Linked DNA regions of Notamacropus eugenii. The protein of the gene in region 3 purifies or fractionates together with the protein of the main gene of each other region. This does not show direct contact. Links are inferred from orthologs where the notes say so. Each region holds a gene or a part of one and is shown on either strand. Other genes may lie near its edges. The genes, in order: PRPF19, CDK9, SNW1 and SNRPA1.

What was found.
Region 1: the proteins of SNW1 (region 3) and PRPF19 purify together in Homo sapiens (affinity purification with mass spectrometry; 3 studies listed by BioGRID and IntAct, counting the BioPlex papers as one, with this or other methods). This does not show direct contact. The link is inferred for Notamacropus eugenii from reciprocal best matches to the Homo sapiens genes SNW1 and PRPF19.
Region 2: the proteins of SNW1 (region 3) and CDK9 purify together in Homo sapiens (affinity purification with mass spectrometry; 4 studies listed by BioGRID and IntAct, with this or other methods). This does not show direct contact. The link is inferred for Notamacropus eugenii from reciprocal best matches to the Homo sapiens genes SNW1 and CDK9.
Region 4: the proteins of SNW1 (region 3) and SNRPA1 purify together in Homo sapiens (affinity purification with mass spectrometry; 4 studies listed by BioGRID and IntAct, counting the BioPlex papers as one, with this or other methods). This does not show direct contact. The link is inferred for Notamacropus eugenii from reciprocal best matches to the Homo sapiens genes SNW1 and SNRPA1.

Annotation. Positions count from the first base shown.
Region 1 is NC_092873.1:12,527,248-12,534,887, reverse strand, and holds the start of PRPF19 (pre-mRNA-processing factor 19), read left to right. Parts: upstream 1-4,629; 5' UTR 4,630-4,883; coding exon 4,884-4,902; intron 4,903-5,323; coding exon 5,324-5,473; intron 5,474-5,570; coding exon 5,571-5,647; intron 5,648-6,024; coding exon 6,025-6,240; intron 6,241-6,689; coding exon 6,690-6,752; intron 6,753-7,001; coding exon 7,002-7,043; intron 7,044-7,165; coding exon 7,166-7,240; intron 7,241-7,640. UniProt on the Homo sapiens protein: Ubiquitin-protein ligase which is a core component of several complexes mainly involved pre-mRNA splicing and DNA repair. Required for pre-mRNA splicing as component of the spliceosome.
Region 2 is NC_092872.1:479,053,427-479,060,971, reverse strand, and holds the start of CDK9 (cyclin-dependent kinase 9), read right to left. Parts: upstream 3,004-7,545; 5' UTR 2,550-3,003; exon of another isoform or gene 1,919-2,549; intron 1,634-1,918; 5' UTR 1,419-1,633; coding exon 931-1,418; intron 11-930; coding exon 1-10. UniProt on the Homo sapiens protein: Protein kinase involved in the regulation of transcription.
Region 3 is NC_092878.1:61,529,979-61,537,724, forward strand, and holds the start of SNW1 (SNW domain-containing protein 1), read right to left. Parts: upstream 3,006-7,746; 5' UTR 2,991-3,005; coding exon 2,953-2,990; intron 2,814-2,952; coding exon 2,660-2,813; intron 1-2,659. UniProt on the Homo sapiens protein: Involved in pre-mRNA splicing as component of the spliceosome. As a component of the minor spliceosome, involved in the splicing of U12-type introns in pre-mRNAs.
Region 4 is NC_092872.1:153,137,215-153,144,043, reverse strand, and holds the start of SNRPA1 (U2 small nuclear ribonucleoprotein A'), read right to left. Parts: upstream 3,002-6,829; 5' UTR 2,855-3,001; coding exon 2,773-2,854; intron 569-2,772; coding exon 421-568; intron 1-420. UniProt on the Homo sapiens protein: Involved in pre-mRNA splicing as component of the spliceosome. Associated with sn-RNP U2, where it contributes to the binding of stem loop IV of U2 snRNA.

The DNA.
Region 1 (7,640 bases), on a different chromosome or scaffold from region 3:
AGTTTGACCCATCAGTACAGTTGTTTCCATGTAGTCTTACCCGTTAGACTATGAGCTCCTTGAGGGCAGGGAATGTGTTTTGCCTTTCTTCATATTCTCCTGAGCTCAGCACAGAGGCTGGAATGCAGCAGGCACTTCATAAGTGCTTATGGTTTGACTTGACTTCTCCAAGAAGCAAACTGTTAAGGAAATCTCTCCCTAGCCAGGGGTTCTTTACCTAGAGACCCCACCTATCCATCCAGGGGCCTACGGATCGATTTCTAGTGGAGTCTATGAACTTGCGTTTCTAATATTTCTATTAACTGAATTTTAGCATAATTGATTTCCTTTGTAATCCTAGGTATTTTGTTTAATTCACTTATATCATTGTAAGAAATGGTCCATGGGTTTCATCAGACACTGCCAAAAGGGCCCATAACACAAAGAAAGGCTAAGACCCCCCTACTTTAAAGAACTTGTGGCTGAAGTCTCAAACTAAGGCCTACTGAACCTGGAAATCTCAAACATGGGGTTACCTATTGGGCAAGCCCCAGGGCCAAGCAGGCACGTTCTTTCCATGCGCTTCTCTAGGAGATCTCTCAGGGACCTGGCTGCTACCGTCTCTAGAACTGGGAAAATCTCTCAGGATGCTTGGGTAAGAACATGCTCCCACATCAGTCATTTTCAGTTGGGAAGGGCAAGAGGAGAATTCTGTCCTCTGTCAGCCTCCAGAATACAAACCCTTTCAGCCAAGCACTGCTCTGTCTTCTGAACTGGGGACACTGGTCTATCAGCTCACTTTTATAAACCAGAGAGGAGAAAATCTTCCAGCAAAAGTGAAGCTTCATAAATCCCTGTGAGATAATTACCTTGGAGGCAGCCCAGGTCTCTGAAACCCAATGAATAGTTCTGTGTGTTTTCTCAGCAAGCCTAGCTGACATCCCATGGGGGAGGGGCCCTTCAGACACCACAGGGGCTCAAGATGCTTTTTGTTATGGACCTTTTGGGCCATCTAAGGAAGTCTACGAGCCCCTTTTCAGAAAGGGCCGAGCTGAAGAGGGCCTTAAACACTAGGCTTGGCATTTCTGGTTTTCTTAGGACCACAGGGAACCAATGAGTATTTTTGAGGGGTAGTCACAACTATGTCTGAGGAAGAAGATTTTGTTGGTCATTCAAGGGGTCAACAAGCATTTATTAAGTACTTACTATGTATGAGTCAGCTGGGTGGCACCATAGTGGAGAGAGTGTTGGGCCTGGAATCTGGAAGACTTGAGATACTTCTTAGCTGTATGACCCCCGGACAAGTCACTTAACCTGTCTGCCTCAGTTGCCTCATCTCTAAAATGCAGGTGATAATACTAGTATCTACCTTACAAGGCAGTTGTGAGGATCAGATGAAATAGCACACATAAAAAGCTTTACAAACCTTAAAGCTATTGTTGCCAGGCACAGTGTTGGAGGCAGCTACATGGAGGATGTGGGCCAGAAGTTACTAATTTTTCTTGGTCACTTTTTTCTTTTGGTAATAAAAATAATTTTTTCTGAATATTTTGTCTCCTTCCCTCCTGAGAACTGTCCTCCACCTCTCTCTGAGCTTCCTCTACATCCATGCTCCAGCCCAGCTGTTCTTGGTCCCGTCTCCAGGGCTGTGCTGTCAAGAGTCCACTCTTGGTGACTGTCCTTCACTGTCAACAATTCATGGAGAAAAGAGAGTTTGGGCTACAGACAATGCCAGATCTTTTCCCTCTTTCATCCCTTCCTTGTCATCCTCCCAGTTGTGTCTCTTGCTAAATTTCAGGTACCTTGTTTTCCCACTACTTTTGATGTTTCATATGGCCAGCCCGCTCCCAGTATTCCACTGCTCTTCTCCATAGGATTTTATAAACGGGATTATGGTCTAAACCAAGACTGCTCTTGGCCTCCACATTTCTCTGCTTGGCAAGGAAATTGACCATTTGTTGACAGTGGTAGCATCTCTTTGATAGGGCAATTGATTTCTATCAGTCAAAGGTCTGTAGGTAGAGAGGGCATCCTTGCTACAGATTTGAAGAAAGAGGAAATAGATTTTCCCAAACTTTAATCACATAAATGAGTAACAAATAGAGAGGAAAGGCCCACATGATGCCTATTGTTTCTTGACTTTAAAGAAGGATTTGATTTGGTTGAGCCAAATGCCACCTGTATGTCTCTCCACCAAGGAGTCTCCCACATGTCAAAATCCTTAAAAGACATAATGATATGGATAATTTTGGTTGATGAAACTTCCAGGTTGATCATCAAGCAAGACAAGGTAGGGAGATGGATTAAGGTTGCCAAAGGCATGGATCACTGTCCTGGAGAGGAGAACCAGTCAGCCATCAATCGGTCAACAAACAAGCACTTCTTATGTGCCAGGCACAGGATCCCCTAGAGATGGTGAGGTCTTCCAGGTCTGTCCTTATTTGAGGATAGCATTGGGCTAACTGGGGGAAGGAAAAGGAATAACGAACTTACCTAATATCTACCATGTTGCAGACACTGTGCTAAAAGCTGTTTACATCTCATTTGGTTCCTAGCAACAGCCTTGGGAAATAGGCGCTATTATTATCCTTATTTTACAGGAGAGGACACTGAGGCAGACAGTGGTTAAATGACTTGCCTAGATTTACACAGCTAGAAGTGTCTAATACCGGATTTAAATTCAGAGCTTCTTGACTCCAGGCCAAGCACTCTATTCATGGCACACCTGACTGCCTCAATGGAATATTCTCTTCTTAACATGCCTAATCAGTCAAGAGAGTCTGGTTTAACTAGTCATATGAAAAAAGCTCAGTGGATGAAGAATGCCTTTGTTCTTGGATTTTTTTTTTTGTATCTCCAGAATTTAGGGCAATGCTTGGTACTTGTCCAGACTGTAACATGTAGTCAAATGGATATACTTGGAGCCAGTCTACAAGTATGAATGTGTGTATATATATATATATATATATATATATATATATATATATATATATATATATATATATATATATATGTATGTATGTATATGTATGTGCATGTACATATACATAAACAGTATATGTGCCTATGCATGTCACTTACATATATATAAACACACAAATATGTATGTAAAAACCTATTCTTTTTTTCTCTCTGTACCCCATGTCTCTCTCATATACCTGTCTGTAACATTTCTCTTGGTGCATGTGATGATTGAAATCCCAAGAACAAATGGGGTCACTGGGAGAGAGTGTAGAGAGAGACCAGAAGGTTCATGCCCAGCAGGGTATAGGTATGAGACTCAAGGTAGCCTCTCAGGTCCCCTTCAGCTCTAAATCCTAGGAGTTCTAGCCCCTGATTCCAAGACTTGCCCAAGGCCATTCAGTAAGGTGTAAGAGTTGGTCTCTGGCTCCTAAATGCAAATTCCCCATCCCTCCCACTTGCTCCATGGACAGCACCAGCCCTTCTTTCTCTCCTGCTCCCTCCCCAGCTTCCTGTTGCCTCTAGGCCATCAACCGGGGCCCTTGAACCCAACTGTGCCATACAGAATTAGTGATCTCATCTTCTTTCCGCTACTCAGACGCCAGTCACTTTTCCAGCTCTGTGTCACTGCTCTCCCAGCTTCCCAGGTTAGAAACCTTGGGTCCAGCAATCAGACCCCTCTGATTGCCTTGTTCCCTGCTGCGTCCTGTATGGCCCCAGGAGACTTGCAGGACTCGAATCCTGCCCTTGATGCTGAGCTGTGATCTTGTATCCCCTTGGCAGGAGAGCAGAGACCATGGCCTCGCTTGCCTAGCCCTGGCAGCTGTGAGGGACCTTCAGGATGAATGTTCATCTTCCAAGGTTTCCTCTAGGAAGCTTTCCTGGATCCTCCCGGCTTGTCAGAGTGATTGCCCCTTGGCTGAAAGTGACCAGATGCCCCAGCCCTCACATTTCGCAGATGCAGAAAACCAGGAATGCCCAGTGAGGGGAAAGGACTTGCCCAAGGTCACACACATGGTCAGAGGATCCTGGAATCGTAGGTTTGGAGCCAATGAGTCCAACCCCTCATTTTACAGGTGGGGAAACTAAGGCACAGGCAGGTTACTGTGCCCTGCTCATGGCCCCACGACTACGAAAGCGTCTGAGGCAAGATTCAAACCCAGCTCTCTTTCTGTTCTCTCTACCGGGAGGCAGCCTGAGCTAAAAGGTTTTGCAGATACTTTGCATGTCGTATCCCCCAGGGGACTGAGTGATGCCTAATAATTCTGGTCAGGAGTGCCAATGTACAGCCTTTGCCCAGCCAAGCCAACAAGCATTTAGTAAGCAACTGTTGGGTACGTGCCAGGCACTGGGCTAAGACCCATTATGGGCAGCGTGTCGGGGCCTCAGTTTACCCATCTGTAAAATAGGAGGGAGGCGGTCTGGGTGGTGTCTAAGGGCCCGACCTGCTCCATTTCCTTAGTCCTGTATTTCACTTACACCAAGAGTACTCTGAGCTGCAAACACATATAAGAGCTTAGAGTCCGAGCTAATTTTAAGGCCAGGCCCGTGATACCAAATGTCGCGATCTTTCAACCTCCCTATAGTCCTCCTGAGAATTGGACGGGTCCTAGTCCCTCTGCATCATGGGAAATGTAGTTCCTGACTCCATGTTCTTCCGGAAGAAACCGAACTCCCTCCGGAAAATCCGGATAGGGTCCGGGCCCATTGCATGACGGGATGCACTCGTTTCCGTTATTTGCCCCAGGATCCCGCGCGCGAGGGGTTCCCCCACGTGAAACCCCGCGCTTCTGGCCCTCCTCTTTACCCCCTTTACCCCGCTCGAACCAGAACCACCCCCGGGAGAGGGGGAGAACCGGAAGTAGAGGCCGCGGCCCCGGAAGCAGAGCCCGGCGGTAAGGGAGCCCGAGCGCGGCGGCGGTGGCGGCTGCGGCGGTGGCGCCATGTCCCTCATCTGCTCCAGTGAGTAGTAGCCTCCGGGCCCCACGCCTCCTGCCAGGCCGCCCCGGGGGGAGCCGGCACCCGCGCCCACGACCCGGCGTTCCCCTGCCGGGGCGACCCTCCCGCCGCGGCCTCAGCGTCCTCATCTGTAACCGGGGGCGGGAAGGGCCGGACGCGGCGCGTCAGGCAGCGAGCATCCATTAAGCGCCGACTGTGTGCCGCGCACGGCGTCAGGGCCCTGGGAGCGGAGGCTCGGGTCTGAGGGGGTGCGGCCCCCCAACCTCCCCCCCCGCCCCGCTGCGGCCCCGCCCCCTGTGACCCCGGAGCTTCCTCTAACGCCCCAGCCCAGCCCCTCGGCCCGAGCCTCCCCCCGGTGTGGCCCTGCGGCGGGTGACTGCGGGAAGCGCCCGGCCCCGCGCCCACCAGGCCTCTTGGTTTGCAGTCTCCAACGAGGTGCCCGAGCACCCCTGCGTGTCCCCGGTGTCCAACCATGTGTACGAGCGGAGGCTCATCGAGAAGTACATCGCGGAGAACGGCACCGACCCCATCAACAACCAGCCTCTGTCCGAGGAGCAGCTCATTGACATCAAAGGTGCCCCCCGGGCCGGGGCCGCGGCGCGGGGGGCCCCGGGGGGAGGGGGACACCTGCCCCGAAGCGGGTCACCAACCTCTCTCTGTCTCTTGGACAGTGGCCCACCCCATCCGGCCCAAGCCCCCGTCCGCCACCAGCATCCCAGCCATCCTGAAAGCCTTGCAAGATGAATGGGTGAGCCAGGGAAAGCCCCCCTGCAGTGCAGCGGGCTGTCTGCTGTGCCACGGGAAGCCCGATGGGGGGCTGTGTGGAACAGACAGCCTTGGTTCTTGGGGACCCGCAGACTCGATGGCTGGGGGGGAGCATCCTAGCCCCGCGAAGCAGGGCAGCTCCTCGTAGTGTGGGCCCCAGGAACCCCCATGGCCCCCTGAAAGGAGACTCACTGAGCTCTTGGCAGAACACGGTCAGACTGCGCGAGGGGAGGGTTGTGCGAAGGAGCCGCAGTGCCAGCGAGCCACGTGTGGTACCCAAGGCTCCGCCGCTCTCCGCCTCCTCCTGGTGCGGCCTCGGCCGGCTGCTTCTGCTCTCACCCCGGCCCCTTTCTCCCCAAGGATGCGGTCATGCTCCACAGCTTCACCCTGCGCCAGCAGCTGCAGACCACCCGCCAGGAGCTGTCACATGCGCTCTACCAGCATGACGCTGCCTGCCGTGTCATTGCCCGTCTCACCAAGGAGGTCACTGCTGCCCGCGAAGCCCTGGCCACGCTGAAGCCCCAGGCTGGCCTCATCGTGCCCCAGGCCGTACCGAGCTCACAGCCCAGCGTTGTGGTGAGTGTTTCTGGCTGCCCGGCTGACCCGGAGTAGTGTGCCCCCGGCTGAGTCCTGATGGGCCTGCTGCCTATCCAGGCCTTCCTTTGGGCCTCCTCTCAGCTTTGCTCTTTTTTTTTTAAATTTTATTAATTTTACGTATTTTTCAGTGTTCTACAATCACTATCATAATAACTTAGATTTTTTTCCCCATACCTGTCCCCTACTTTCCCTAGATGGCATACAATTTTATATAGGTTCTACACGTACATTCCTATTAAATAGCTTTTTACTATAGTCATGCTATGTAGAAGAATTAAAATGAATGGGAAAAATCATATAACAAACCAAAATGTAATACAAAAGAAAATGATCTGCTGCATTCTGCAATTGAATTCCATAGTTCTTTCTCTGGTTGTGGAAGGCATTTTGCCTTAGAAGACAATTGGGAATCTCTCTTCTTTTTTTAGGGTGCTGGTGAGCCAATGGATTTGGGAGAGCTGGTTGGAATGACCCCCGAGATTATCCAGAAGGTAAGTACCTGACTCCCTGTTTTAAACTTGGCAGAGCTTCCGTGGCTTTAGCCTTTGCTTCCTTTCTCTCATCCCTGATGGCTCCCTGGATAAAGGCTTATTGGTGTGATTCCCATGAGGTTCAGGGTATCAGACTGAGCCCCAGCTCCCTTTATTGTCTCTGGGTCTGGGAAAGGAACTTGGGCCTCTGCATGAGGGAGCAATTGGGTCTCTAGCCTGTATTTTATGGTCCTTTGCTCTCATCTCCAGCTTCAAGACAAAGCAACGGTGCTCACCACGGAGCGTAAAAAGGTGAGTCCTGCATGCTGTAGATGGGCATCTAGGAGAATTTGGGCATTACTGGAGGGAGGGGGCTCAGGGGGGACCTTTGTCTGCACTCACCAGCATGCCTCCATGGCTGTTCTTTTTGTCAGAGGGGAAAGACAGTGCCAGAGGAGCTGGTGAAGCCAGAGGAGCTGAGCAAATACCGGCAGGTGGCATCCCATGTGGTGAGTGGCACACCTCAAAGCTGGACCCCAGGGCCCTGTTGTGATATTTTCTTGTGACCCCGGGCAACCAAATCTTCTCTCTGCTGCTCCCTCATCTCCAGTCTTCCAGTAGAAGGTCCTCCTGCTTTTTGCCCATCTCTCCTTTTAGGGAGATGGAATGCTGGTGTCCTGGTGGAAATATGCCAGAACCCTGGGCTCTCTGCATGGAGGCAACAAGTGATCACAGTGGAAGGGGAGGTTATCTTTGAACATTCCTTTTGTCTACTTGGTTCAGACCACCTCTCCCACTTGCTAAAGTCCCTGCCTGAGAGCAGAATGAGAAATTCCTGACTTTTAGTCAAGAAGGGTGTTTGGAGGGAGAAACGTGAGTGCAAGCTTTGAGTCGTAGGGCAGTGAAGGT
Region 2 (7,545 bases), on a different chromosome or scaffold from region 3:
GAAGACTTCACTGCAAGCCAAGTGATGGCACGTTTGTTTACCCAGGCTCTTTTTCTGCCCAGCACCCTCCTCCCAGAATTTATCAGAAATGGCAATTACCCTTTATCCCAGGTTCTTACATCAATACTAGAGTTGGAAAAAGCTTGGAAGTTATTTACTCTAAAAACCTCTCACTATACAGATAAGGAAACTGAATGGGGGGGGGAGAGGAAAGTATGTGTGCCCAAGATCACATTATAAATTAGTGGTCTGAATCCCAAGCCCTTCAGCTTGCCACCAAACCATACCCTTACTTTAATTGAAAAATACAAACAAAAGCCTGTCTGCAAAAAGATTCACCTTCAGATCTACTCCCATCTTGAAAGTCCCTTACTTTCCAACCTTTCCAGCGCCTCCTTTGTTCAGCTCCTCCCCCGCAAACTGAAGCCCCTTCACCGTCTCTGGGGATTTCCCCTACCTGCCTCTTATCTCTCTACGACCTGAACCTCCTTACCTCCAAAGCGCTTCTGGCCAGGCTGCCCTAACCTCCAGGGTTCCCGGCAGACTCACCCCTGGGGCCGGACCTCAAGTCCTCCAGCCTCCCTTTGTCGGACAGCCTCGAGGCCCCAGCCCCAAGAGCCCCCCTCAGCCTCGAGATCCCCGCCACAAGGGCTCCGCCTCCAGCCCCAGGCTCTAGAGTCAGGCTGTTAACTTTCCAGACTCGGGTCCCCTTCCCAGCGGGCGGTCGCCCCTCGGCCTCCTGGCCTCGGACCCGCGGCTTCGCTCAGGCCTCGCCCTTAACCCTCCCCAGCGTCCCGCGGGCTGTCCCGTTCTGGTCCCGGCCCCGGCCCCCCGGCCCGGCCGGCCCCTGAGGGTCCCTTTCGGTCTGAGGCCTCGGGAGGCCCCCGGTACCCCCCTCCCTGGCCCGGCCAGGCCAGTCCCGGCGCTCACCCGAAGGTGCCCTGGCCGATCTTGGCCAGCTTCTCGTACTTGGACACTTCGTCGCAGAAGGGGCATTCCACCGTGTCGTACTGCTTGGCCATGGCGGCCTCGCCGGTGCCTCCCGCCGCCCCGCTGGCGGCCCCCGCTGCCCCCGGCCCGGGTCCCGCTGCAGCTGCCGCCGCCGCCGCCGCCGCCGCTGCTACCGCCGCCGCCGCCGCCGCGCCCCCCACGCTCCAGCCCCCTCCTCGGCCCCGCCACTTCCGCCTCCCGGGCCACTTCCGGCCCCGAGGTGCCGGCCCCGCCTCTTCCGCCCTGCGGCCGCCGCCGGGACCCCTGGGACTTGTAGTTCCCGGGAGGACGGGGGCTGCTGGGGCTGTAGAGCCGCCACCGCCGCCAACGCCGCCACCGCCGCCGCCAACACTACCAACACCTCCGGGGCCGGGAAGGCGGGGCCCCGGGATGGGGGCGGGGGCGCGGGGCGGCCCGTCCCGTTGCATTGGCCCGGCAGCTAGCCCGCGGAGCTGCTCCGGAGCGGATCCCGGGCGAGCCGCAGTCTCCTCCTCCTCCTTCTCGGCTCCGGCTTCTCCGACGCCGCCGCCGCCGCGGGGCTGGGGGCGGGGAGGGGAGGGCGGGGGGAGCCGCCCCCGGGAACCGGAGCGAGAGCCGGGCCAGGGGACGCTCGCTCCTCTCCTCCTCCTCTCCCAGGCCCGGGCTGGGGCAGGAAGGGAAGGAGAGACTGAGACAGGAGGAGGAGAGGACACCGAGACGGGGTGGGGGCGATGAGGGGAGCCTGGAGGGGAGGGGCTGGGGGCGCGTTATAAAGGGGGGGGTAGGGAGGTGCCGCCCGTTCTCGCCCGCCTACTCCGCGGGCGCACCTGCCGCGACTCCGCCCCGGACCCGGACTCGGACCCGCCCGCTGGGGTGGGGGGAGTGGGGGTTCACGGTACGTCACCAGCCCCAGCCGCGGCCCCTCCCCCCTGGGGGGTCCCGTCCCCACCTCCCCTCGCCCCCGTAAGTGCCGGGGAGAGGAAAGCGAAGAGTGACGTGTGGGCCCAGGAGCCCGGACGCCTGGGAGTCTGCAATCGAGCCCTCGGTTCAGTGCGTCCCGTTTGCCGCCCGGCCGTGCCTCAGTTTCCCTTTCTGCACCCTAGGCCAGGGCACCAGGGGCGCCCCCGGGTCTTAGCCGTCGTGGGGACCGCGAGCAAGCGGAGCCCTTCCCTTCCCGCTCCCCCCACCCCTCGGGCTCCGAGTTGGGAGAACGGCCGAGAGGCGCACGGAGGAGGCGCGGAGTGAGCGGGGGCCGAGCCGGGGGGCGGGAGCCGCCTTCCCCCCGCCGGCCCCCCGGTTCCCTTGGTTGACATGGCAACCTATCGCCGCCAGGGGGAGCTGCGAGACCAGAGGAGCGGAAGGAGGGCGGGATCGGCGGGGGAGGCCTGTTGGGGGCCGGTGGGCAGAGCCCTGGGGGTTGGGGGGTTCTTTCCTTCTTCCCTCGGGCCTCAAAGACCCGGGAGAGCCGAGGGCCAGCTCGCCCTCCTCCTTCTCTGGGTGCATGGGGAGCGGAGGGAGACACGCTCTGCCTGGGCCGCCTCAGTTTCCCCCAGGGCAGGGCGTTCACTTCGCAAACTCACCATGTCCAAAACTGACCTCCTCACTGTCCTTCCAAACGGACTCAGCCGTCAGACTTGGCCGTCCAGGTCACATCGTTCGGGGGGACGAGCTCCTCGGGCCGGACCTAGGCTGGGGACGGTTGGCATTAGCAACAATGAATGCCGCGGAGACCTGCGCTTTCCCCACGTGTGCGCCGCTGTGGGGGGCACCTCCTGCTGGGAAAGCTCCCTCCGGGGCACTGGCTGGCTCAGCCACCAACTCGGCCCTGGCCGGAGAGCCGGGAGGGAGGGCTGGAGCCGAAACGCCTGCTCAGTACCTCAGCCACCTCCACCACACAGTGTAAACCAAGTCTCCCGTGTCAGGGGACGGTGTGTGCCCTCCGCTGGCCAAGACCTTGATCCCTCACCCGAGGTGACTCCCCTGGGAGCCCTTCCATAAACTGTCTACACTTGTTCTTCCTACTGCTTCTGATCATGAATTACAAGAAACAATAGCTCACGTTTGTCTACAAACAGCTTCCCACCACTCCGTGAAGTCAGTGGTGCATGCACTAAACCCCCACTTTGCAGGTGAGGAAAGGTCTCAGGAGCAAAGGGGCTTGCCTATGCTCGTGCAGTTAGTAGGGGAAGACACTAAGCCTGGAACCCAGGCGTGTCTGGTCATCAAAGCATGCCCAGTCTCCTTTGAAGTAGCCTTTTGATTCCTTCTTCCCTCCCTAATCTCCTACTCCCACCAGCTCGGGCATTCCCTCTCCGCACCCTGATCTGGGGCTGTCATTCTGCTCTCCTGGCCTTTCAGAAAGAGTCAAGGAGATTAGCAAGGAACTCAAGCTTCCTGATCCCTAGCCATCTTTGCTTTTCACCTAGATTATTACAACAATCTCCTTCCTGGCCTTCCTCTCTATTCTCACTCTGTCCTGTTCTTACAAAGGCTATTAGAATAACCTCTTTGAAACTATGTCATTTCCCTGTTGGAGAACACAAAATGGCTTCCACAACTGCTTCCAGCATTAAATCCCAAGTCCTTAGCCTAGTGCTCTCTGCCATACCTCTCCAACCTTGCCTCCAATATTGCTTCACCCCATCTCTCCAACCCTCCGCTACCCTCCATGAATTCTCCAAGAGGACTGGTTTCCCCACTATGCCTGGGGAACACCTCTAGAACTTTCCTGTTTCTTTGCCCCCCCCCTTTTTATTTGCTGGCAGCTTCTCTCCTACTTGGAGAGCAGAACCTGGCACATCCTACAGAGGCAATGAAATTCAATTCAAGGAGCATTTATTAAGTACTTACTATGTTCTAGGCGCTGGGAAAGGATAGAGTGGGGGCACAGATAAAAATGAAAGACTCACCTTCCAAGAACTTACACTTTTAAGGGGAGCAGAAAACATATAAATAGAAACTTAAATACAAAATAGATGCAAAATCATTCCTAGGTAGAGGGCACTAGCACCTGGGGGTGGGGGTGGAGGGTCAGTGGGCTTCCTGTAGGAGGTGGCAGTTGAGCTGAGCTTTGAAAAGAGCTAGGGATTCTATGAAGAATGAGTGAGGAGAGAGGGCATTCCAGGCATAGGGGACCACCTGGACAGACACAGAAGCAGGAGATGAAATATTGTGGATGGAAAATTGGAAGCAAATTGGTTTTGCTAAATGCTTCAGTGTGTGAAGGAGGGTGAGGTCTAATAAGCCTGGAAGGAAAACTGTGCTTTAAAAGGTAAGTAGAGGCATTTGTACTTTATAACAGGAGCATTGAGGAATCACTGGAATGTCTTGAGGAAGGGAATGACACAGACCTATGTTTTAATAATATCAGTTTGGTAGTTTATGGGGAATGGAAGGGAGGCTGGATATGGGGATTCAGAGGCTATTGCAATAAGCCAAGGGAAAAGTGATAGAGGCTTAAAGGAAGATGAAGGCAAATGTATGGAGAGAATGCCATGGATTTGAGAGATGTCACAGAGGTGGACTAGACAAGACTTACCAATTTGCTTGCATATGGGGCGGGGAGGAGGGAAGTGAGGATAAAGGAGAACAAGGAGTGAAAGACGATTGAATAGGAGAACCCAGCTAATGGAAAGAATAGTGATGCCCTCAACAAAAACAAAGGAAGAGGGGAGGATTTTGGAGGAAAGACAGTTTTGTTTTGGATATGTCAAGTTTGAGATGCCTTACAGGATATCCAGCTGGAGATGTGCATTGGATAGTTGGTGATGTGGAGACTGGAGTAGATAAAACCTGTAAATTGTACCCTGTATCCTATTGTCCACCAAAGGCTTTCTACCTTCACTCTAATATATGGGACTTAACTAGTCACAAAATAAGTTGCTAAAAATCTCAGAATTAGAAGAGTAGAATTTTCTTCCATCAAAAATGTGTGTGGAACTCAAGCCCCTAGGGAGTGGTGCAAGGGTGCTCTAGATACCCTGTGCTTGCTGTGTCTAAAGATACTCCAAGAATGGCTGTGTCAAAGCGTTGTCCTGGCAAGACGCATGACAAGGTGTCAGTAGGTGCAGAACTATATATCCAGAGAAGATCTCTTAAGTGGTAGGAGAAAGATAATAGAGAAGGATCATAGATGTAGAGCTGGAAGGGGCATTAGGAATCATTTAGTACTACCCCTTCATTTGTTTTACAGAAGCTCAGGTGGAGTGACTGTCTCAAGGCCACACCCCTCCAGGTTGACAGAGTCAGAGTTCAAACCTAGGTCCAGGGAAAACTCCAGATTTACCATCCTTTCCACAAAACATCATTGCCATTTCCTCTGTGGAGCTTGGAAGAGCCTAAACAGAGAAGACAAATAAATTGAGGAGAGGTGAGAAATCACAAGGAAATACAAGGTAGGATTCAAGAGGATGGACTTTTTAGGGTGTGAGCAGACACGATTTTGCCGTCTTTTGGCTTTTTGCCTTCCCCTGTTCAGAAGACAGACCAGCATGGAATAGGGCAGAGCAGGTCCTTGAGGGAAGAGAAGCCTTGTGTTCATGTGACTCTTCCCCTAAGCGACAAGGAAAGGCATCCTGAAGCAGAGGCATTTGGGAGTTGTGTGTGCTAGTCTGAAAGTGGTCTGAATCTTGAGACATCCTGAGAGTAACTACTTTCCCCACTCAAAAGATGGCCAAAAATGGGGCACTAAGAGATTTCCTGCAGAAGGACGTGGCAAATGCAGTCATGTGCTTGTCCGTATTACTCAAGAGAGTGGTCCATGGACAGTGTTTATGAATCCCAATATCCTGCATAGATGAGTTAAATGCGTTGTGTTATGTGTACCCTAAGCAGTGTAATACTGAAATCTAGCCTTATGGCCTGAGAAGGGAGGTTTTCTGGGCAAGACCTGCTGTAGGGCTTACCTTGTAGAAAACTCTAGGTTCGAAAGTTCCCAAGGTTGAGAATTTAGAGATCAGACCACCTACATACCTAGGAAGAAAAAAGAAGACCACTCATAAAGTTCCTGAGCGCTCTCCTACTTGGAGGTCCAATGGGAAGGGGGTTGACCCAAACTGTGCTTGCCTTCAAACCACAGAGTAACACTATGATTCTGGGAAGGACTCTGTGCCCCTCTGGGAAGGCTATGGGCCCTCAAGAAGGTTAAAGGGTAACCTTAATGGTGATTCCAAGGTCAGGTCCCTTCTGAGGGTAGTTGATGGGCTATGAGAATTCTTTATGTATTTCTCTGTTTATAGGTTCCTAGGAGGCCTTTGTGTTTTCTAACATTTTCTGAGGTTTTAGTCATCTATCAATCAAATGAGATAATATTTATAAAGTGCTTCATTTAATACCTTAATAGATACCTTAGTATAATACATAGTAGGTGCTATAAATGTTAGCGATTATTGCTATATATTGCTATTATATGTGTGTGTGTTTGTGTATACATACACATATACATGTGTGTATGTATCTACACATATGTATGTGTATATATATCCATGTATAAATATATAAGTGTATATCTATCCATCATCTATCTATCTATCTTATCTATCTATCTCTCTATCTATCTATATCTTAAGTGCCTGTACTGGAACTAGGGCCGCATTGCCCATATTTAGGGAAACCTAGACAGTAGCCAAAAATAAGCATATTTAGAGATTTTCTTAGACTAACTCTAGGTGGGCCTAACAAACCAAAGAAAGAAATTACCCTCTTGAATCAACCCCAAGACTCAAGAACTTTCTAGGGAGCCTAGTGTTGGGGACTGGGAATGGGAAGGGGGGGAGGGATGGGTCAGGGATGGGCCAAAGGTTATGTTACCAGTTCTTATTTCTACAGTGGTCTATGGATATTGTAATGGATAGTCCCTGAATTCTCTCTTAGGTCCAAATCTTGTGATCCAATGTCTACTCTCCATTTCTCTAATTGACCACTCTTTGTAGCCTTGTCCAAGGCACTAATGAAGGAGAGGACATTGGAAAGGAAAGAGGTGCTCTTGAGGCTCAGAACTACATCGAGAACAAGGTTTTCTGATCCAACCAGGCAGAAGTTCTCTAAGACACTGGGAATTGCATGGAGCTGGTCTTTGGCAGCTAGGTGGCACCATGGATAGAGCTGTAGTAGATAGAACCTGGTGTTGGGAAGTTCAAATCCAGCCTCAGATATTTACTAGCTGTGTGATCCTGGTCAATTCACTAAACACTGTTTGCCTCAGTTTCCACATCTGTAAAATGAGCTGGAGAAGAAAATCTAAACCCAACCTAGTTTCTTTGCCAGTAAAACCCCCAAAAGGGGCTACAAATAATTGGACACCACTGAAAATGACTAAACAACAATAACAATCATCTTTGGCCAGACCAGGGCAGCTGCAGAGCACCCTGAAGTTTTGAAGAATTTGTTTAATCCATTTGGATACCAAGGGCCAAAATGGAAGCTGCTGATGGGAAGTCTTGCTGAGCTCAGAAGACTTAGAGGTCTTAGACTTGCACCCCAGGATAGGTACTCTGAGACGGCATTCCCAGAAGCCTTCTTGATATACAATTTTTAAATGTTTCAGAGGTACTCAAATGTCTGCTAATGGTGCTGCAA
Region 3 (7,746 bases):
TCTCCAAACATTCACTCTTCTGGAAAAGTGCCCATGGCATTTTCAGATTAACAGGCCAATTTAGTTTGACTTTTCAAAACCTATTCTGCTCTACCTAGCTTTAAGAAATCTTAGCTATTAAAATAAGATTTTTAAAAATTCAACTACGCCATGAAGTTAATTATCAATTCCTTTTTAACTACATGAAATCTGAAATGCAAGAAGGCTACACTCCCTAATTTTACATGATTTTACATTTTACTTGCTGAAGAAGCCCAGTTTTAGATAAACTCAAAGACCAGGTTATTAAGATAAGAATTCACTATTCAACAAAAACTTCTGGGGAGAACAGAAAGTGGTCTGGGAGACATGAAAAGTATAAACCACAATTTAACACTAAAACCAAGATAAGCCCCAAATGGATACATGACTCAGAAAGAAATGGTGACATCATAAACAAATTAGAGGAGCAATGATTACTATTTACACTTATGAATAGGGGAAGAACTCATGACCAAACAAGGAACCAAACATGGAAAATCCTTATTATATAAAATAAGAAAAGTTTCTGTACAAACCAAACAAATGTGGCTAAAATTAGAGAAGTAGGTAACTGGGAGCTGGGGTGGGGGGGTGAATCTTTGCAGCATTTTTTTTGGTAATGGTTTCATTTCCAAGCTATATAAAGAACTAATTAAAATTTATTAGAATAAGGGCTCCAATTGATCAATGGCCAAATGATATCAATAGGCAGTTTTCAGAGGAAGAAATCAATGCTATTAACAGCCATGTGAAAAAAAGGCTCCAGATAACTAATAATTACAGAATACAAATTAAAGGAACTGTGAGGTTCCACACCCATTGCATCCATCAGACTGGCTAAATTGATAAAAAATGTAAAATGATAAAGGAGCTCAATACTAAAGGAGCTGTGAAAAAAACATATATTAATCTACTAGTCATGGAGCTGTGAACTGGTCCACTTGTTGTGCAAAGGTCATCTGGCACTATGTCTCAAAATTTATTAAGCAATACATACCCTTTGACTCAGTCATATACCACTACTGGAAGTCTATACTCCTAAGAGATCAAAGAAAGAGTAAAAGAACCCATACATACAAAAATACTTGTAACAGCTCTTTTTGTAGTGGCAAAGAACTGATAACTCCAAGAACTAGAAAGGTAATTCAGAATATGTGTATTGTCTGACAAGCAGTCAAGTTAAGTCTAAAGAGTTCCACCAGCAGACTGGTCACAAGATATTCTAAACAGAAATTCATCAGCTTTCAAAGACTGAATACTGAGTCAAAGAAACGAGGCAATGGGCACAATATGGGGAGTATTCACACCAACAATTCAACAATCATATATTAAGTGCCTACTATGTTGAAAAAATTATGCTAAGACTAGTGATACAAAGACAAAATTAAAAACAATGTTGCCTTCAAGGGGCTTATTCCACTGGAAGGAGACAATTTTTATTTTTTATTTTTTTTATTTTTTTTTTTTAATTTTTTTATTTTTTTAATGTTTAACAATCACTGCCATACAATTGCGATTTTATCCCTCCCCACCCACCCCCCACTACCTCCCTCCCTCCCCACGACTGCATACAATTCTGTATAGATTCTACATATACTTTCCTATTGAGTATATTTTCACTATAGTCATGCTATGTAGTCAGACTAAGATAAATGAAAGAATCCGTATAACAAATCAGAACATGATACACAAACAGATACACATACACAAACATGATCTGCTACATTATGTGAGTGACTTCCATATTTCTCTCTCTGAGTGTGGAAGGCATTTTGCCTTGAGGTCCACCATTGGGATTTTTTTTTTTTTTTCGGAAGTTCTTGTGTTATTACAAAAATCTAAGTCTACCAGAAAAAGCTCTCACACACTGTGGTTGTTGCTGTGCATAAAGTTCTCCTGGTTCTGCTCCTTTCACTCAGCATCAGGTCATATGGAGACAATTTTTAAAAACAACATGTCAAAGATTCCTGAATAAGAATTAATGTTTACATGTAACACTATAAGATTTACATGGTGTTCTCCACATAATCTATAATCTGTAAACATTATCACCCCCCATTTTACAGATGAGAGAATTAAGCTCAGACCTGCTTTCCACTGATGGACAATGCCCTTTGTACCTCAATTTCCTTATTTTTGCAATGAGGGGGTTGGACTAGATTGGCTCCAATGTCCTGTCTCTCTCCAATATCTTATAAACTCTAACTCCAGTTTTTCCCTAACACTTGCAGTATCTTCCAGAGCTACTTCTCTACCCTACCAAAACTATAAAGATTTTTTTGCACGTACAAAGGATTTTGGACCTGTGACGAAATTAATTCCTGCCATTACTCAAGCTCATACCTTTTGTGAGAAGGGTTAGGGACTCCTATTTCCCTAAGAATTGGTTGTTTGGTTTGTTTTCTCTATCTTTTAAGCATCCTACTTCTTGACTATTTCCCTATTCATCAGCACTTTTCAAAGGGTAAAACACTATTAGTTTACTAATAATAATACTAATAATTAGTTTACTTTAGACAACTATATTTCAAAACAGTACTGAAGTAGATGCTAGAAAACTCCATGGTTTAGACTTACTCATTAATTCTACAGCAACCCTGATCAATTTAATAAATCCAAAATGAAGGCTAATATTTACCTCTAACAAACGAGGTATCCAACCTTTCCGATAACCATAAGGAGGAGGTTCTCTTCTTGATGAGACCAGTGCAGTCTGCCTTGATCTCTGTGATCTTGCCCTTTCCTCAGCCTCAAGTTGGTCCTGAGACAGCTGAGTTGGAGCAGGTAAAAAGCTATAAAAAAGGATAAGGAGAAAAGTTAGAATACAAACAAAAACACTTTATGTCATTCAAATCAATAATGAGAATAAAATTTTTCTGGCTAATTTCATGAAAAGGGAGAATCTCTACTGATCTGTAGAAATGCCAATACCAGTCATTTTGTATTCCAGGTAATAATGAAGTACTCATTCATGGGATCAAGAATATCTGACTAAAGGCAAATGAGATGAGTTCTACGACCAGGACTGTCTCTGTATACCTCACAATAGCTATTATACTATGTTTTTCAATCTCTTGTAACCTAAGAGTAAATCCTCAGTCATTCAGAGAATGATTGCCCAGAATACTGATTTTCTTTTTGTTCCCTTTTAATCATTACAGTACCAATATTGAAGGACAAGTAGAAACAGGGAAGAGAAGTCGAAACCTCAAAGAAAGAAAAGGATAGGGAATAGGCATGTAGCAGTTAAGAGAAAAAAAAAAAAGTACATTTAAGAATCCTTTTTTTATCCTGTTCAATTCAAGAATATATATAATCTTAAGTAACAACAAAAAGGTTGATTTTCTGAAAAAAGCTATTAACGTTTAAGAAACTGAAGTAGTGCCAACTTGAATTGTTTTTGACTATACTTCCAGTGTATTGATCATAATAAATGTTAAGTTATTAAGCAAAAAGATCCAGTGTATTTATACTGAAAATGAATTATAGCACATGGAACAAAACCTTTGACATTCACTGTACAAAAGGCTTAATGAGTCCCGCAAAATACTGGTCAACCAAGAATAAAAAGAAAAGTCAATCACTGCCTTAAACATACTGTTAGCATTAGAAAAGCAATTCTATCTTTGACAGAAAGAGTCCAACTCTTGTTTCTGCATGCTAATATAGTATGGATCAAAAGAACTTAGGTCAGACTTCCCCCAAAAATTTCTACTGGAACTATCCACAAGAAGTCCTATGGGCATGCTGTTTAACCCTTTGGAAAATTCAATTGAACAGAGTCAAGAAGTAAAATGCTTAAAAGATAGAGGAAAACCAATTCCTAGGGGAACAGTTTCAATTTTAAACAGTTTAAGATTTCCACTTTGCAGGCTTCATAAAGTTAGCAAAAACGAATTCAATGAAAACATAAGAACCACCGGCCTACCTTAAAATTAAGCCAATACTGATATTGTTACTACTGGGCATCTCCCTTGTATGAATATGTACATAAATGTATACATATGGGTGCCTATGTGTGTTTATACACACACCACCCTTTCCACAATATCTAGCTCAGGTCCTACTTCCTCAGTGAAGCCTTTCCTTACCTATCTTCTAACTCCTTTGGTACTTCTCCCTCCCTGCCCACAAAAGTCAGCATTCTATTACACTTCAATTGCTTTGTATGCCTACATTTGGTCAAGAGTAAAAGAGGCTTGTAAACCAGAGTTCGCCTCTTCAATTGCCCTTTCTACAGACCACACCATGTAACTCGTTTTTTTCCCAAGCTTCACTGTTATGGTCCGTTCGGAATGATGAGTTAAGTAGGAACAGCAGGAAAGGGGCAGGAGCTGGGGATACCGATGACGCTAGATTAGGGGCCTCCTTGGTTTCTTTGGTATTCTCAGGGCTTGGCGGAGTACCTGGAACACAATAAACCTTTATGGCTTGACTTTCCGCAGTCTCTCCTCGAGTTTCCTCTTCTCTTGCCGGTGTGTGTTTTTAAGGAAAATTGTTTCCGCTTACTAAGCACCTGTTTCAGGAATTAGTCTCAGCTACGTAATTTTTTTTTTTTTTGCTCACTACGTACTAACGATCATTCGCTGGCAATCGGGGGCCGCCTTCACACGCAGCTCCCACCACATCGGGAAGCGGCAGGACTCAGATCTGCCTGGGGGGGGTAGTTCTCTTCCACTGGACTGGCCATGAGTCCCCTCACCCCCAATTCAGAGCTCGCCAGGCGGAGGCACTCTTCTGTTTTCCGAGAAGGTCCAACCGATAAGGGAGCAGACAGCGGCTGGAAGCCCGCCTCAGCTTCCAGCTCCTTCCCACCACCGGTAACCACCGTCCCCTTCCTGGTCCCCACATGCCAGCCCCGATTCCCCACCTCCACCTCCCTCCAGATTCCCCACCTCCACCTCCCTCCACAGGAGGGAAGGCCTCTTCACTCCCTCGCCCTCGGAAACGAGAACAACTAAGGCAATCCTCGAACGCGCAGGGGCAGGGAAGCGTGAGCCACGCCGATGTCGGCAGCCACGACTAGGGGCGGCCAGCGCTCGGGGTAGGTGTTCAGGAAAGGCCCCGGCTTCCGGGGAGGCCTGGTCGACTCGGCCGCTAACGGGAAGTCCTGGCCCACAGCTTTACCCCAAAGCATCGCTACTCCCCTGACCGGCACCCTCCCAGAGTGTGGAAGCCGAGGAATAAAAGGCAAAAGCGAACTGAATCTCTTCCGTAACGCAGACCCCCTCCTCCCCCACAGACCTCAAAACCCACCTGGTAAGCGCCATCTTCTTCCGCTGCTTTCAGCGCTCGCGGCAGCTCAGCTGGGAGGGGTTTGCTAGGCAACTGAAAGGGTTAGGGGGAAGGCGGAGAAGAAAAGGCGAGAGCACTGCGCACGCACCTTTAACGAAAGGCCTCTTGGGATTTGTAGTACTTTGAGCGAAGGGCGGGGAGGGGGCGGGGCGAAACCGTGGGCGAATAGAGCAAGGGCGGATTCAGCTCTCTTTAACGCTTCAATTGAACGTACGCCATGAGGTCACCCACATTGTGTGACGTTCAAGGCCTGCCCTAAGCCAAATTGTGAAGTCTCGCTATTTGGTGTGGGATACTTTTTCAGAGCAGTTTAACAAGGTCTTTGGTCTAAGGAACCTGTCAGCTAATGGAATTGATGTTTTTAGAGGAACCTAGGGGACTCATTGGGCAAAACGTTGGACCTGGAGTCAAGAGAGATCAGAGTTCAAAGTCGTTATCTGACGCTTACTAGTTGTGTGACCTTGGACAAGTCAATGAACTTTCTACCTCAATTTCCTCATCTGTAAACCGGGGGTAATAATAGCACCTACATTTCAGGGTTATTGTAAGGATGAGATCATCTTTATGATACAAACCATAAAGAGCTATAAAAATGCTAGCTGCTTTTATACTTTTTGGAATCAAAGGAATACTTATCTCTAATAATACAATTGAAGGCGCTGCTGCAGGACTTGGGGGAAATATTTTAATACTGGAGGAACTGTTGGATGCCCTTCAAAGAACAACAAATACTTCAGTACCGAGGACAGCACCACATAGTAAGACAGTAGATCCACAAGCATTTTATTCAGTACCTACTGTGGCAGAAGCTGCTCATTTCGGGGGTAAACAAAGACAGAAAAGAAACAGTCCCCTGCTCTCAAGGATCTCACGGTCTAATGTGGGCCCTAATGAACTTTTGTTCTTAGTGACAACTGATGATAAGGAGATGAAACAAATTGTGGTAACAATGAAGAGTTAAGTTCTGGTTTTCCTACCATAATAGTAATAACAATAACTAATACTGTAAATGAGAGCTCACAACAGCAAGGGATCAACATGGGCTAGAGTTTTCAGAAAAGGCTTATTAATATCAATAGGTTCTAAAGACACAAATCAACAGTATACGGTGTTTACTAGGTGCTAAGTACTGTACTAAGTGCTAAGCTAAGCTAAATTAAATAGTCCAAGTCTTTAAAGAGCATACATTATACTAGAGGAAAATAGTATATGCACAGATTAATCAAAATAAAGTTATTTATTCTATGGGATAGGGACACCAGCAAGGACCTTGTGTAGGGCAGGACTTCTTCAACTTTTTCTACTCCTGATCCCTTTGCACATGAGAAATTTTTATGCAACTCTGAGCATGTAGGTATATAAAATAGGGATACAAATAAAACATTGATTAATAATAAATCATAAAGAAATTTATTTTATAACAATTCTTTGGTATACATATAATTTTACCATTTACTAAAATGAAAAGCAAATTTACATACTAATGAGATGGATGTGCCTGTTTATTTTTACATAAAGAATTAAATCTTGGCAGAATATTTGATACTGTTGGACATAGAACATCTTCAGTGTTTTTCAGAGATGTTTGATATTTTGATTTTATAATTGTCAATGCTGAGAACACCACTTCACATAAATACATAGTACAAAATGGCAGAAGTATGTTTAGGGCCATTCAGAAATTGTTGGAAATTCTGTCCTTATCCTAAGCCAAAATTCACTTAATGATTTGGTACGTATGGTAAAAACAAAACAAAACAACAACTTCAGTTCATAACATACAATAGTCTCCAATATGAGCTGAGTTGTTCTTGGCGATATTCGTTGGCATTGTGTGGAGTGATGGTATGCACATGAGCAGTGCAAAGTATGCATATTGTGTGTTCAGAACCAAGGCAGCAGGGAAGTAGTGTAATGCAACATGGACAAGCGCTGGCAGAAACGCCTCACATTCATTTGATTTTGAGTTAGTTTTGGGTCATTGTGCATTCAGAAACCTTTTACTTTTGCCAGATATTTTGTGACCCCCACATTTAGCCACATAACCCCATATGGAGTCACAATTTAAAAAGCTCTGTTATACGGGATGGCACTTGAGCTGAGACTCAGAGAAAGCCAAACATTCTAAGAGAGGCAAATGACAAGGGACTATATTCTAGTCATGGATGCCATCTTACATAAAGGCACAAAAGCAAAAGATACCTCATATATTATCTCATTTGATCCTCACAACAACCCTGTGAAGTAGGTGCTTATTTTTGCCCACATATTTTTCAGATGAGGAAATTCAGGTTGAGTATGGGAAATGGCTGAAGTGTTGGAGTTTGGCCAGGATGTTAAGTTTGCAAGAGAGAGTAATGTGAAATCAATCTGGATATACAGGCTGAAGGCAGACTGTAAAAGATTTTAAATGCCAAACAGAAGCATTTG
Region 4 (6,829 bases), on a different chromosome or scaffold from region 3:
AAGACAGCAGACTGAACCATGAATCCAAGATAAAATCTGGTAGGAGAGGCAGACACAAAGTGTCAATCAGGTGAGGCAGAAAAAGTTAGTAAATTATACTTGCACAGACCTTTTACTTACTCTCATTTCATAATTAAAAACTGCATATATGCAGAAAAATACCAAGCAATAAACATCAAAAGAGGGCAATAAAAATTATTAAACTAAACTTTTGTCAGTAGCTAATTTCCTTATGTGGATGATCCTTTGCAACGTGAATTTTAGATACATGAAACAGAAACTAGGATTAAAGACTGCCATGAATTATTTGAATTTCTGTGAAAGAATAAAACTTTTCAGCTTTAAAAAATTTCAGCATACCTGCAGCTGCTTACCATGCTTTAAGCTAACAGCTAACTCAGGGGAAAAACTAACACTTACCATATTCTATTATTATTCACCAATAATGTTTTCAGTCTTTTCAACAAGGGAAAACCATCCAACTTTCTGATTTCATTATCAGAAAAATCAATAGCATCAAACTGATCCAAGGTAGCCCCCAAGTTTTCAATTACAGGAATCTTGTATCCTGGAAAACAGTAAAGATATTAGATTACACTGAGGTAGCCAAGGTACACCATAGCTAAAATTAACAGTGTCAGTAAATTAAATCAGGTATTGTTATCCATTTTAGAATCTACACCATGAGAGCACCAGCAATTCTTCATTCAACAAACAGTTAAGTAACCAGTACTTATTAAAGTTTTGAGGATGACACAAAGGAAAGGTATAGTTTCTACCCATATTGGAACTTAAAACCTATTTTGAGAGATGATACACATATGGAGCATTTAAATAACAACACAAGGCAATAATGTTAAATTACTGCTGGTGGAATTATGAACAGGTTCAACCATTCTAGAAAACAATTTGGAATTATGCAAAAGTTACCGAATTGTGCATACTCTTAACAAGAGATTCTGAAGTTGGGACTGGATATAAAAGATACAAGAAAGCCTCAAATGTACAAAACTATCCATAGCATAAATTGTGACAACAAAAAAATGAAGCTAATATGTGTCCCAACAACTGGGGAATGGACGAAAAATTTATAGTGTGTTAATCTGTGCTATAAGAAATTAACAAATAAGGTGATTTCAGATACAAAGATTTCAGAGAAATAAATTATTTATTACAGGTGATAGTGAAGACAGTAGACACATGCATATATGTGTGTATATAAACATATATACACATGCATACATACACAGATATGTCAATGCCCACAAACATTAAAAGGCAGCAAAATTTGGTCAAATACGATGACTAGAAGTTGCTACAAATGCCAACTAAGTTAAAACACACAATTCTCTGTCCTGTTAATCTAGTTTTAGGGAACATACTTTGCTGGGGGTGATTGTGTGTTTGCTGGGAAGTGTACGAAAAAGTATCATTAAATTAAATATAAACATATATGACAATAAACATGGTCAAAGACAAAAGAGTTTTCTTAGAAAAGGTGAAACTTGAAGTGCACCTCTATCTACATTTAATTTAATAATATAAAATTTTTTAAAATAACTGCTCATGGGTGCAATATAAAACTTATGAAGTTTAAGGAATTGGGATTTCACAGAAAAAGGATGAAAGGTCAACCTCCCCATCCTAGTGTGAAAACCATGTTCCAAAGTGATGCCTTCCTTCCATGAAATCTCTCATATTTTAACTCATGCCTTGTCACACCAAGACAGTATTTCATTTTGACCTGAAAATTCCTTCTGTTTAAAGTAATCTAGTCCAACCCTTTCATTTAACCAATAAGGAAACCGAGGTCCAGAGAGATGAAGTGATCAGCATTATACAGGTAGCAAGCTATGAAACCTGGACTCAAACCTAGCTTAAAAAAAAAATCAAAACAATTTAAAGCTCTTTTCACACACAGAATCTAATTCTTCACATCTGCCTGTCCACTTGCGTGGCCCTCAAAAGTCCATGTTACTGTGGTATTTCTCCTTAGTTCACTGTACCTGGTTCAGTAAGTTTCAGTTGGAGGTTAGCTTAATTCAAGTAAGATACAGTACAGTTCCCAACTAAGACAGAATGTGATCTCTACGTGCAAATTAGCTCATAAACATCAGAACTAAAGTGAAGCCTGCCTTTTCAATTTTTCAATTAAGCAGATAAGACTACGAAGGGTAATAAAAGAGAGAAAGGTCAGAATGAACAGCTTCTGAACATCACGGACTACATACACCGTGAGCGTCACTACACCGGAGTACGTGTGAAAGCAGGGAGTGGTCCAAAAAATGGAACCGTTGGAGGGGTCCGTGGTGGCGGGGAATGTCACAAAATGAAGTGAGACTCACTGGGCGGTAAACAAAGGAGCGAGGGTGCTACAGAATAGCGGATAATATGAGACAATAAGGGAGCGGTCGCTACAGAGTAACAAGTGACAGACCGGGCCTGTCACGCTCTCTAAAGAGTTACCCTCTTCCGCGCGCACCAAGAAACTCCAATTTCCTCCACTCTGTTCGCGGGGGTCTCGGGAGCCCGGTGGGCAGGCCCTCGAGCACGCCCTCTCCCTTCCCCGGGCGGGCCTCAGTTTCCTCCTCTGTGTTCGGAGCGGAGGTTGAACCGCACAGCGCGGCGAGCTGCTGTTCTACAGCTTCGGAAAAGGCCGCCCGCGGGCCCGCTAAGCGCGCGCAGGCCACCCAGCGCTCCATGACCCCGGCCCGAGGCCCAGCGCGGGGGCCGCGGTCCTCTCCGTCGCTCCTCCCAGCGCCCTGATCTTACCTCTCAGGTCCAGCTCACGGTCCCGCACGGCGTTGGTGTACTGGGCCGCCTGCTCGATGAGCTCCGCCGTGAGCTTCACCATCTTGTCGCCACAAGGCACCGCAGACTCCGCTCCTTCCGGCCCCCAAAGAATACCCAGCAGCCTCCGCGCACCGCCCCCGCGGTCGGACAGAACCAATCACGGGCCTCGGGAGGCCGCAGCGTGTTCAGGCCAAAGCCATCAATTCGCGAATCACGGAGATCGGAACTACTGCCTGTCTTCCGCCAGAACTTCGACCAAAGTCCCAATCGAGCTCCCGGCACTCACTGTTTTAAAGTCCCTTGCGTTGCTCTCGTGGAGCCACCTTTTATGTCTCTTACAGGCTCGTTTAGGGTCCTTTGCAAAAATAGGGCTAAATGTGTGCTTTGTAGGGTGAAGGAACGCAGGACAGCGTGTTTCCGACGCATCCATTCAGTAGCTAGCTAGTAGCTAGCATTTATAGAGAGCTTTAAGTTTTGCAAAGCGCTTTTTTTTTTCTGCTTGTGTTACCTCATTTGATGCTTCTGGTTATGGAAAAGCATTTGGGCAAGAAAAGATTCTGCTACTTCCATTAATTTATTTATAGCAAGAAAAGACTCACATGTACAAAAAGATCTTCATAGAAACTTTTTTTAAATAATGCGCCAGCGACTGGGAATGACAGAATGAATTGATATATAAATATGATGGGATAAATTACATCATAAGGAATGATGAATATGAAAACTCCATGGGAAGATTTGTAGAAAGTAGTGAAGCAGAATTAAGAAAGCCGAATTAAAAGAACAGTATAGAGCAACAAGGTAAATACAGATAACATCAAGAGGTAGCAAAACTGGTGGTCAAATATAAGCAACAGAACAATGTATCGTACTAAGTTAGAACACACATTCTTTTTGAATATTGAAACCAGCCTTTGATGGTTGTGGGGACGGGGATGGGGGTGGAGGGTGGGGGGGTGGTATACCCTTTGAAGAGACATTTATTTGAGGGTTGTGAAAAGTGTTGTATAGAGAAACAATGTATCAAAAAGGAAATAAAGTAGCAAGTTATAAATCTATGAAAGCAATCTCTAGAAATGTAACTATGCAGACTTCCCTCCTAGTGAATATGCTAGGAATATTATTTCTATTCCTTTTTTAATGGATAATACCTAATAACCCATACTTAGACCATAATAATTAGAATTGTAGCCCCTGGGTTGAGAAATGTCTGTTGAGTTTCTAGGCAGGGTTGGGCCTAGTAGCCACTTTCTGTTGTGCCCCTTCGCCTAGCAGCCCCTCTCTTTGTACCCCTTTGCCTGGCAGCTGCCTGGGCCCCCATCTCTGTTGTACCCCTTTGCCTGGCAGCTGCTTGAGCCCCCCTCTCTGTTGTGCCACCTTGCCTAGCAGCACCTAGGAACCCCTGTCAAAACTGTTCTGTGAAAAATGTTTGCTACTGGAACTGCAAGACTGTACTGGGAAGTGCTAAGATGCTTAAAAGGCACACACACCTTTGTTCGGGGCTGCCTCTTCTGAGGACAGCCGCCGGCTAATAAAGACGCTCCCAAATTCTCAATTGACTCTTGCCTGTGCTTGTCTCGGTCTGTCCATTTCAGTATCAGAAAAAAAAGAGCACTATAGTTGAATTATTCCTGTTCTAAAATCTATGGTTTTGTGCTATATGATATAGTAAATATTGAGCCTCTTCAATAGCTCTGAAACCTTTGAAAAAATACATGAAATGACTCATTGTAGCATAGAGGTTTTGACAGATTCCTCCAAAATTGAAAAGCCCACAGTCCAAAGATCAACTTGCTAGCTGAGAGATATTTCTTACCAAAATTGTGGCCTTTAGGTGATGGATTTGAAGGGTGCCACAACATTTCATTTATATCATCTGCTAAATCATAGAGTATGTTAAGGGGGAAAAATGTCTTCATTGCTTATAGTTATATCAATTAGAATCAAAGATTTGTTAAATAATGCAGTTGCAAGGAGAGTGTTCTATATTGACATGGTGACTCAAGTATCAGGCATAATCTGGAGGCTTTCATATATCTTCTTTTTTAAAAAAAATTTACATGCATTTCTAATTTATCCCTCTCAATATTCTACCCCTCACTGAACAACAACTAAAAAAAGCCCCACAACTTGAACAGGCATAGTCCAGCAAAACAGATTTCCACATTGGTCATCTCTGCATTATTAACCTCTGTGGAGGAAGTATTTCATCTTCAGTCCTCTGGAATCATGGTTTATTGTTCCACTGTCAGAAATTTAAATTCTTTCAAAGTTGTTTTTCTCTGCAAGGTTGTTGTAATTGCACAAGCTGTTAAAGATCTGCTCACTTTGACATAAATTCATAGAATTCTACCCAGAAGTCTATTTTGATTTTTTCTTATGACACAATAATATTCCATTATTCACATATACCATAATATTTTTTAGCCATTCCCCAATAAGTATATACCCCTTTAGCTATCAAATTTCAGCTACTATGAAAAGTATTGCAATAAATATTTTTGTACATATATGTCCTTCTTTCTTTGATTTCTTTCAGAGGATAGGCCTGATAGCGATATAGTTGGGTTAAGGGATATGCACTGTTTAGTAACTTTTGGATCCTAACCCATATATTGTTTTCCAAAATAGCTGGATCAATTCACAGCTCCAACAATGAAGCGATGTGCCTATTTTCCCATAGCTCATCCAATATCTGTCATTTTTCCTCTTTGGTCATTCTTTTTCAGTCCAATGGATATGAAACAGAACCCCAGAGCTACTTTAATTTGCATTTCTTTATTTATTAATGATTCAGGGTACTTTTTCCACGAGGTTATTCAGAGCTTGGATTTCTTCCTTTGAAAATTGCCTGTTCATATTCTTTGGCATATTTTTATTAAGGAATGTCTTTTAATATATTTTCAAGAACAATTTAAGCATGTACCTTAGCGTTAACCGTCAGAGTTACAAATGAGGACAGAATGTTCATCTCAAGGAGGTAGAAAAGCAACTCAAACATCCAAGCTGCTCATAGCATATAATCTCAAGAACTCATGAGATCTTAACACTTACAAAATCTCCAAAGATAGTTTTAGTTTTCTTGTTACATTCTTAGAACAGCATTTGGTTCATTTCAACCACTATTTTTACCTCTTGCTAGCACATAGCAATCAAGCTTAATCTATGGTTTCAGCTTTGGTTTCTTACCATTAGGTTATGTTATAGCTCCAAGACCTTAATTTCTAATTTAATTATAGTTTAATTACAGTTTGAGGCTTTAATTTCTTGCTTCTGTAATCCCTTGTTTTGTGTCTCTTCAGTTCAAAGCAGCAGCCTCAAACTCCAATGTGGAAAATATTCCCCACTCCTGTCTCAGTAATCTTAGTGCAAATACACTACATACTTATATCCTTTATCCTGCGCCAAAACTCTTTGACACATCAGATTATGACTCAGTGCTATACAAATTCCAGGATGTACAACAGTATTGAGTCCATATATAATGGTATGACCAAGAAGCCCCCAGATAGATCCAAATTTTTTTTTCTAAATCTCTGCAATGTTAATTATGTTAATGAAAATTAAAGATCTTCCTCACCCATTAATGGGCCTGCCCATTAAGGGAAGTTTGATTAGAGGAGATTTGTTTTGTAGGAAGGCTCATACCTTTTGTTAATTTCTAATGGGGCACTGGTTCTCAAAGGTTGTGATGCCCTCTGGCTCTGAAGAGTGTGTGTGTGTGTGTGTGTGTGTGTGTGTGTGTGTGTGTGTGTAACTATGTATGTATGAAATGGTCAGACAGTTGGAAACCCTGTCTGTTGGTCTTTATTTCTTTGTTTGCATTTTTTCTGAAGTTCAGGGTTTTGACTTTTCCCCCTGTACTGAGTGAATGATAGATATATGTGCTTCATTAAAGTACATTGTTGACCCTTCAAAATTGGTTTCCTTTTAGAAAAGCAGATCTAAGAACCTATACAGCAGGCCCTCCTGTGTAAGCTAGAGTCCTTCCTGATACAATCTCATCAGTTATTCTCATGAAATTTAGGTATAAAAT